2 linked regions of the Caenorhabditis elegans genome follow. The protein of the gene in region 2 interacts with the protein of the main gene of each other region in a biochemical or structural test. Each region holds a gene or a part of one and is shown on either strand. Other genes may lie near its edges.

Evidence for each region.
Region 1: the proteins of tni-1 (region 2) and mup-2 interact in far-western blotting, tested with the Caenorhabditis elegans proteins (one study listed by BioGRID).

The regions. Positions count from the first base shown.
Region 1 is NC_003284.9:6,407,388-6,412,255, forward strand, and holds mup-2 (Troponin T), read right to left. Parts: upstream 2,841-4,868; 5' UTR 2,822-2,840; coding exon 2,799-2,821; intron 2,747-2,798; coding exon 2,678-2,746; intron 2,627-2,677; coding exon 2,515-2,626; intron 2,449-2,514; coding exon 2,071-2,448; intron 2,020-2,070; coding exon 1,813-2,019; intron 1,741-1,812; coding exon 1,312-1,740; 3' UTR 1,084-1,311; downstream 1-1,083. UniProt on the Caenorhabditis elegans protein: Troponin T is the tropomyosin-binding subunit of troponin, the thin filament regulatory complex which confers calcium-sensitivity to muscle actomyosin ATPase activity.
Region 2 is NC_003284.9:11,374,843-11,379,832, reverse strand, and holds tni-1 (Troponin I 1), read left to right. Parts: upstream 1-2,362; 5' UTR 2,363-2,371; coding exon 2,372-2,431; intron 2,432-2,477; coding exon 2,478-2,603; intron 2,604-2,647; coding exon 2,648-2,774; intron 2,775-2,820; coding exon 2,821-2,965; intron 2,966-3,048; coding exon 3,049-3,196; intron 3,197-3,525; coding exon 3,526-3,672; 3' UTR 3,673-3,946; downstream 3,947-4,990. Other genes in the region: F42E11.3 (Brp/Blh family beta-carotene 15,15'-monooxygenase), read left to right, coding at 4,224-4,323, 4,367-4,500, 4,545-4,714, 4,761-4,839, 4,888-4,990. UniProt on the Caenorhabditis elegans protein: Troponin I is the inhibitory subunit of troponin, the thin filament regulatory complex which confers calcium-sensitivity to muscle actomyosin ATPase activity.

The DNA of each region.
Region 1 (4,868 bases), 5.0 Mb from region 2:
AAAATCGATTTTTTGAGTTTGTTTTTTGAAATGAAAATCTTTTGGTTGTAATGAACTTGTTTACCTGTTTTACCCGAATATTTTTCGATTTTTTTTTTGAATTTTTTGTACTTTTTCACAACATTCTAAAAACTATAAATCCACAAATGAAAGACCATTCTGAGTGATATCTGTGTCTCCAAATTAGTAATTTCATCACTAGGTACATTTTTGAATACACTATCTGTAAACGAAAGCTTTCAATTTTTTTCATTCTTAAAACAAAACAATTCCCAATTTCTCATCAACTTCTATCCCAATTATTGAAAATTTATGCTCGTTAGTCTTTGTATCCCAATTGATTATTTCTTCTCACTTCAAAATTCTATTTTTCTGTTGTCATTTTATTGTACATTTCTCGATTTCCTGGTGTAAACTTTGTTGCTTCTCGGTTGTAATTCTCTACTGAAACCCAGTTCCTCACTGTTCTCGCCCCGTTGCTTTCATTTCTCACTTTGCGAAAAAAAAACATAAGCAAATACTATGAGGCCTATTTGTCAGACTTTCCAGATGTTCTTCCCAACCATAACTACTCCCCAAACTCTAAAAATTCCCCAGGTCGTTTTCAAAATTGGCCCCAGATGTGTGTCTCGTATCTGTTTTGCTTATTCAAATCTAACCAATAACTTTTATTTTTGAATTTGATAACTTGATTTTGAATTTGATAATGTGTATAATTTTTATCATAGAATGTTTTCAAATGCCTCTCTGATTAGTTTGTTACACACATCAAACTGTGGCGTGTCATGCCGATTTTCTCTCCTACCACAAAAAACTTTGCCCCAGAAATTCATCAACTTTGCTGTTGTAAGCAAATTTTTTCTCACCGCTTTCAAACGATTATTTTTCTCATTAGCTAGATCCCAATTTCTCATATTTTTCCAATTCCGTCTTAGTCCTTTCCTTTTTCAATTTATATTATTCATATATATTTTTTCCGTTGACTCGACTTATTCAAACTTTAATAATAAATATTATAATCAAAATTTGTCTTTCCACGAATTCTTGTTTTAATCTGTTTCATGAAATGCTTACAATTCGAATGGGAATGCAATTTTTATGATAAAGACTTTACTGATAAGCACAAACCGGAGAGTATGCAGAAACAGAGTACTTGAAGAATTGGAGAATTGGTTAATAAATTGGAAACAAATGCAAAAAGTTTTGATTGGAATATTAGAAAATGGATTTTTTTTGGTTGGGATTGGGTTTATTTTAATAAATTTGATAATCAAAAAATTGTGAAATGAAAAAAGGTAAAAAACAGGAAATTTATTCGACAACGACCTCTTCTCCAACATTTGGATCCTCGGTGACTTGTTGTGGCTCGAAGTCATCAGTTGGAACGAAGAGTGGGACTGGCTCGACTGGTGCTCTGGCTCCCTCAACCTTGACCTGCTCAACGTACTTTGGTGGCTCCAAGTTTTTGCGGATCTGCTCGAGTTCTTCGTTTTGCTTGCGTCCCCACTCTGCTGGTGGTCGTCCGGTTCCGCGGACGAGGGAAGCCTGCTTCTCCTCTTCTGGGTTCTCGAACAAGTACCGACGGTCTCCGTAAGATCTTCTGTCGGTTTGACGGTCGAACTTAGAAGCGGTGGTGATCTTTGGTGGATGGACAGAGGAAGCAGCCTCCTCTGGGTCAAGTCCCTTCTTGAGAGCCTTGTTACGGGCGGCTTGACGTTGACGCTCGTGTAACTCTTTCATCTGAAGTAATTGAAATTTGGTTGAATGTCACACACAATATCAAATAAGTCTCATTGAATAGTTTAAACTTACGTCATAGTCTTGACGTTCACGTCTCTTCTCCAAGTCGTACTTCTCAGCCTCGAGCTTGACGATACGAGCATGAAGGCCTCTGATTCTCTCCTTCAAATCGTTTGGAAGAAGTCCAGAGACGTCTTGTACACGGCAGACGGCGGCCAAGAAGTTTCTCTTGGCATCCTCCATCTGTTCCTTGCTCATGACATCCTTTCCTCCCTTAGCCTGAAAGTTTCTTAATTAGTATTCGATTTAAAAATGATACAATAAAAATACCTGAGCCAAGTTTCCGAATTGAGCAGCTTGGTCTCCCTTGGAGGCGACAGTGAAGTTGCGTCCAGCTCCGGCTTCAACTCTTCCGTTGAAAGCTCCAGCCATCATTTGTTGACGACGGACCTTCTCCTCGTTCTTGCGGATCTTCTCGGCATCAGCCTTAGCCTTGCGTTCGTCTTCTTCCTTGCGACGGCGCTCGTCATCTTGACGTCTACGTTCAGCGAACTGACGCTCGTCCTCTTCACGCTCAGCTCGGCGCTTCTCTTGCTTCTCCTTGAGTTCACGAAGCTCTTGTTCGATTTGCTCCTTCTCAAGAACACGGCGCTGCTCGTAATCGAGAAGTTTAGCGGCTTCCTCTTCCTCGTGACGCTTCTTGGCGGCCTAGATATGAATTTGGTTAACAATTTTATGAATGAAACGGAAGGTCTCCCAAGAAGTTATACTCACCAACATGGCAATCTCAGCCTCAGTCATCTCCGCTGGTGGCTTCTCCTCTTGGACTGGAGCACGACGCTCCTTGACCTCTGGTGGAGCGACTACTTCCTCGGTGGTCTCCTCTCTACAATTTCAGTGTTATACAAAAAATCACGAATTCAAAGCTTAAACTTACGGCTCTTCAGCCTCAGCTGGGGCCTCTTCGGTCTCCTCGACCTCCTCCTCCTCGACCTCCTCATCAGAGCTAAAAAATTAAAAATTAGAATGTCTAGAAAAATGATAGGTATATAACTTACTATACCTCCTCCTCGTCGGACATGATTAGTTAGGTTTAGGTTCTGTAATTATATGAAAGTTAAATTCTCAAAATTCAAAATCTCAAAACATATTGATAAGAAGTGATGACACAGAAGAAGAAGGAAATTTGAGTATGTGCCGGTGGGATGTTGAAATCGACAATGAAGAGATATGAAAGTGCTTGCTCCGGGAGGCCGTCGTTGGCAGATAAGTGGGAGGGGCTGGCGGGAGCGGGAGCTCTCAGGGAAAAGAAAAGTATAACATACGGACACAATCTGTGCTGTAAACCTTACACCTACGCAGAGTGAGCAGCCGTGCCCTCCTCGTGTGGCTCTCGTCTTTCTCTCTGCCTGGGGCTTCCCGCGGGCAGTCTGCGTTTCCTCAGAATACGCAGACTTCTGTGATGTGCTATCGTAGAAATAGGGCATCATGTTTCGATCCGAAGGCTCAATATATTTTTGAATCACCAACATTGATTCGAGAAACGGGTTTCTCTGCTTCTCTCTCGATCACCAAGATGTGCACTTCACTATCTCTTCCTCCTACGCTGACACAGACAAGGGACCAACAAGAGACAGATGATGATGAAGAGTTTGGACAAGTTGAAAAAAACAACATAGTTTATACTGGTCAATTGATAAAAATTTCTAACAAGTAGTTAATATGTTTTAGAAATTACTGTGATTTTCCTATTATTCTTGTATCTTCCACTGCACACTAATTCTAATTGGTCAGCTTTAAAATAATAAAAACGCGTTAAATATTTATGTGGTTCAAAAAGTTTTGTTAAAATTTAGGTAAAATACGGTAAACTTATTTTATAATTACGAATTTTCAATGAATCATCACTTTTATTTAAATATTTTAACGCGCAAATGAAAACGTAGTGCTCTTTAAAATTGATCCATTTAAAGTAAACAAATCATTTTAATATTTCTACAAATATTAAATTTCAAAATTCAATGTTTAGAAATCAATGATATTTGTGTAATAGTTTCCAATTTACCGAGGCACCTTGCCAATCGGCTATCATCTTTTTCCAACAAGCTCGTTTCCACCAAAAATCCACTCACAGTGGCCCCTGCAATAAGACAAGCGGGGCGAGCATACGAATAATATTTGGGTGGCACAATTGTAAAAACGCAAAACAATAATACAAATATTCTTTCTTTTCATTTGAATGCAGCTGATGATCTTCGAGACGTTTTCATTCAAATTCTTGTAAGCCAGTGTCAATTGGCCGTCTGGTTCAGTTGCGGGGATCCAATTAAGGGAATTTGAAAAATTGATTCTAAATAATAAATAAAACATTAATTTCAAAGAACATAATAATAAACAAGGCAAAAAAATTACGAAAAGTGTGTTCAATGTGGTGACAACAGTCCACACTAATTAAATTATTGCAAAAAAATAGTGTTATTCTAAGAAATACGAACATCTTTGTGAAATACAAAATAAATGTAGTAATTAATCATCAATTTCAAAACTTTAGTCTAATTAATTTGATATTAACATATGAGATCAAAGATATAGATTACATTTTCGAAAATGTCAAAAAATTACCCTTATTCAGAAAATGTATGTTTTTGACACCTTGTATTTTTCTTGTATTTTATAACATATTTTTTGAAACATTGTATTTTTGGTTTCTAACTAGCAAATTAGTCTATGGTGGAGTAGGGGCAGTGGGGTAATTTTTCTGAACTACCACTCTTATAGTACCAAAACTATCAAATATCATAGTAAAAAGTTTCAAAAACTCTTTGCACATATTCAAAAAATTGACACACAAAAAGTGAAAATTACTAAGTTTTTATCACTTTTTGAGAAAAAATAGCACAGTCGCATGTTCGAGCGAATAAAATGTTTGAATATTATTATTTAAAACATAGGTAGACCATGAAATTTGAAACAATTTTTATTTGGCCATTTTGGCACTATAGATTTTTATCAATTTTCCACAATCGCGCTATTCTACGCTTAATGCCACCGAAAACTTTTAGAATTATTTGTAATTCTGTAGTTAAAAATCTAAGTTTCACTCTGTGAAAATCATTTTGAACTATTTT
Region 2 (4,990 bases):
ACAGTTTTTATTTTCACCTCCCAGTTTTTTCAAATTTAATAGACATAGATAAAAAGTTCGGCCTTTTTCTATCTGTGTTTTCCATTGACACATTTGATCAGGAAGCTAATACAACATATGGGTGGGTGGGCAGAGAGGTCCGCCACGTTTTATTTTTGCTGTTACTGCGTCGAATTGAAGGGCACATCAAAATGAGTATTACAACACGATCCACGGAGCTTAGCGTTGCTCTTCTCGAAACAAATGATCAGAGGAGTAGAAGACACAACGCGATTCCAGGAGAGCACTGAAATCCCATCAAAACGTTGCCCGAGCTCTGATGTCTTTAATGTCCAGCTCCAGGCCGCCACACATTGTACTATTCGGCGAGCCAGCCAACTGACACCAGCCGTGTGTCCTGTCTTTTGCTCTCCTGCCACCTCCTCCAGTTTTTTGATGCTACTTCAATACATTCTGTCTGATCGCAGCCAAGCACTCGCAAATCAAATCTCAGCAACCCCCGCAATGCGACGGCACATCGAAAGCTATTCCCATTCTTCATTCCAGAATCTTCTTATTTCTTTTTCTTCCCCTTTCCTTCTTCTTCGTCATCTTATGCTTCTTCTTTCTATCCCTTTTCCCATTTATGTCTTCTAGTTCAACTCATTTCGTTTTCAGCCCATTCAACTGTGCTTCTTCTGCATATTTTAATTTCAAAACTTACTTTCAGAGTTTTGTTTCTTTTCCATTACAAAAACTCGAGACTTGTCTGGAATGAGAATCAAATCATATACTTTTTAATAAATATATTTTTGCTCACTCAATCTATGATGAAAAAAGAAACTACTTCAACCAAAACTGAGTATTCAGTATTCTCTCCCCTTTTCCTGCCTCTAGCTACATAATAAGACCTTCATTAAATTTTTATTTGTGCTCACTTCTCGTTTTGAAGTCTTTCTATTCACTCACATCAGTCGTCGTTTTTCACGCACTACTACTTCAAATTTGTATGTTTTGAGCAACGTAAAATTGTTTCTACCACCAATTCTTAGATCCGAAAATTTCATTTTTAGTATTATAATTTGATTACTATTCGCTGTCAGATTCATGACCGAGGCTAACAAAACACGCAATGAAACGCCTTTCAAGAAAGCCATTACACGATAATTACCGCTTAAGCTGTCAGTTTCGGAAGCCCTCGCGAAAAAATGGTGTATGCTCATTTTGTTCTCAGAGCTTCTGCAGAGCACTTCACTCACTTCGAATTTTCCTTTCAACTACAATTATTGTCCTTCTATCCACCACCTTTCCTTGCTTCCTAACAACATCCGCTCAACTAACAACTCTCACCTTCACGTTTTTGGTTTCAAAAACTAAAACACTCGCACTGAATCAGTTGGTGATGGCCATTCCACCATAAATTCATTGTTTAATTTTAACTTCCCCTATAGCTTCCATTACCTTTTTTCACCTAACATGTCTTTGCGCTTCTAACTTCGAAAATCTTATGTTTTCCGATATTATTTTCTCCCTCTGTTCACTTCGCTCGCACTTGCACTGTCCCAATTTAAACATCACCACTCGCACATAACCACGTTAAAAATTGTAATGTTTGTTATTTGTAAAATTTTGCAGATTGAAATTTTCAGAATGTATTTAAAATTTCAAAGTACTGCGATAGGCGTACAGGTTATTGTAATATACTCCTACAGTGGTTCGAACAATACATTACAACTAAACTGACAAAGTGTTTATTGGAGCACCAAAATTGGTTCATTACCAACAATAACAATTTTGAAACCATGTCTGAAATATATGACGATCATGTACCTAATGTGTTTTTTTTCTGAAAAACAGTCATAAATTTGGTAATCAATTGCTCCAGAATCTCTTGGCTGAATACAAGGTAACCAACACAATGTTGTCGTACTTCTTCACTTCTTACATCAACCTGCCAAAGTGAGCGCATGCATTTCAGTCATTTTTTATCTTTTTAATATACACTTACTTTCAAATTTTTGACTAGAAAGTTAGTTGGATCTGCACTAATGTTTCAATCGCTTAATAACACACCCATCACTAAGTCTTCCTTTATTTATTTTTTTTTCGAACAACATTCACTGAGCTGATAAAAATACCGTTTGTGTGCGTATCGTTCCAGCAAACCTCACACCCAAACACTTTAGACTCATTCCGTTTCATGGTTTTGCCTCTTCTATCAATCTGTTTTCAATTTGAATCCCCTTTCTCACGTTTACACACACCCTTGAATACCTTCACACCCACCGTACCTCTAACGCTTTCCACCAATTGCTTGGCACATCCCATAGTAGTCGTAACCTTTGTTTTCTGTAAATGTGCTTCTAATCAATTTGCATTTAAGGACTTGAAAATGAGCCAAATTGATGAGAACATTCGCTACGGCGGAGCTGCCAACGAAACCGATGGCGAGGTAAACAAAACAAAGTCATTTGTGTTTTTGAAACGATATTGTTCAGGATGCCCAACGAAAAGCCCAAGAACGCGAAGCCAAAAAGGCCGAGGTGCGCAAGCGCCTTGAAGAAGCAGGACAAAAGAAACAGAAGAAAGGATTTTTGACTCCAGAAAGAAAGAAGAAGCTCCGCGTAAGAGAACATTTGACTTTCAACACTTACAGATTCATTTTCAGAAGCTTCTTATGAACAAGGCTGCTGAGGATCTTAAGACACAGCAATTGCGGAAGGAACAAGAAAGAGTCAAGGTCCTTGCTGAAAGAACCGTTGCTCTTCCAAATGTTGACAGCATTGATGATCACGGTTCGTTCAGTGCTTTAGGCAACAAACAAAATTGTGTATATTTCAGCTAAGCTCGAGGCTATCTACAATGATTTGTTCTCCCGCCTCTGCAACTTGGAGGAAGAGAAATATGATATCAACCACATCACCACAGAGACTGAAACTACAATTAATCAACTCAACATTGAGGTTAACGATCTTCGTGGAAAATTGTATGTCTTTAAATAAACCCAGCAGTGCTAGTGTGTTTTCACCTGCTCCAATTCCGCATGACATGAGAAAAAACTATTTTCAGCGTAAAACCATCATTGAAGAAGGTGTCCAAGTATGACAACAAGTTCAAGAAGATGGCTGAAGCCAAGAAGGAAGATGGAAGCAAGAACTTGAGAAATAATCTCAAGACAGTAAAGAAAGAGAGCGTCTTCACTCAAATTGCCAACAAGGTAAGTTTGTAATAAGTTTAACTGGAATATAAAACTAGTTTTTACTTGAACTGTCAAGAAAAACATGTTAACAAAAAGTAGCCTGCCAGAAAAATTTCTAGAACACATATTTTGTGTTCACAATATTGAAAACTGGCTGAAACAATACATCAATATAGAACATTAAATACAATGTTTAAAATTGACATTTAGAATCCAAAAAACTCAAAATAATAAATTATATCAATTTGTAGTACTCAGAAACATATACTTATTTTATCAACATAACTTTAAAAATTGTTTTCAAATTGATATTTGATGAATTGAATTTACAATAATCCACATTTCAGAAGAAATCTGACAAGCCAGAATGGTCCAAGAAGAAGGAAGAGAAGAAGGAAGAAAGCGCCCCAGAACCAGTTATTGAGCCAGTTGAGGAAGAAGAAACTGCTGCTTCTGAGGGAGAAGAAGAAGAAGAAGAAGCCGACGAGGAATAAATACCGGCATTGTTGTCATTATCTTGTTCACTGAATCTAACTAATCATTCTCGCGTATAATACATTTCATCAATTCAATTTATGTGCCTTTTGAGTTTGAGTATTCTTAAAATTTTGTGCATGTAAAAGGTATTTGGCCCTTTTTTATAAATCTTCATTTGTTTTGTTCTGCCGTTATACTGTTTCAAAATTTCCAGTATACATTCTTTGTATTCTTTCAGTAATATTCCATCTTATTCTTTTCTGCATATTCGCAATAAATGAAGTTATCACCAACCCGGAATTACAGAGCAAAACTCGAAAGCAGCACAGAAAGGCATTTCTATTTGTGTGAATTATCCTAACGATTTTCAGCTGTCAAACTAACAAATGTAAATGAAACAGGGAATAAGGCAAAAACACCTGGAAACGCAAATCGCCGCCTTCTCCGACGTCACCAAGTGTAACCGGGTTGAGACGAAATAAAAGGAGCTCGATAAGCCATTTTGATTCTGAGTTAAACTCGAGATTGGTTTAATATGGAAAGAGTTCAATTTTCATCCTACGATGAAATGCTCCACTACAACTCACGAGTTGCGAATCAATTCCCAGGAGTTGATTTGAACGTTTTTCGGAAGATTCACTATCTGGAACTTCTGTCACAAATGTTTGGTATGTTAGTTCACAATTTTTTTAATACATTTATAGTTTTTAGGATTCCTATTTTACACTTTCTACCTGATAATTTTTCTGGTTCACGGAAAAACATTCTTCATCTCCGAGCACACATTCAAAGCGATCTTCATTATTCAAATGATCACTTTCGGCGCGGCACTGGTCATTCAGAAGGTATTCAATTTTAGTTTTAAAACTGTAGCATCACACAATTTCAGTTTTCCTTTATGGTCAACTCGGTAGAATATGTTACGTACTCAACATTTCCATTTATTCCAAAGTTTGTGATCTCCATTTGTGATCGGCTAGTAACGGCTCAAATGCCTTTGTATTGGTTTGTTGTCAGTGCTTTTCTCATAATTCAAATTGCCCAATTCGCTAATCAAAAGTATGTGTTTCTGTCAAAACAACATTCTAATAAATACATTTTTCAGTCCACGCGGAATTAAACTGGCACATACCTACTTGATACCTTACGGAATAATCATTACCCTCATTTCCTTCATTACCCCGGTAATATTTTCAAGAGAAGCTCAGAAACTAGGAAATCGTTGTTTTCAGGATCATATGAAACTTTTTATGATCGTCGTCTGCTTTCTAATCTGGTGGATTTATCGAAAGCATATGATTGCCCAGTTGTACAGCCAAGACATGACCGCCCGCG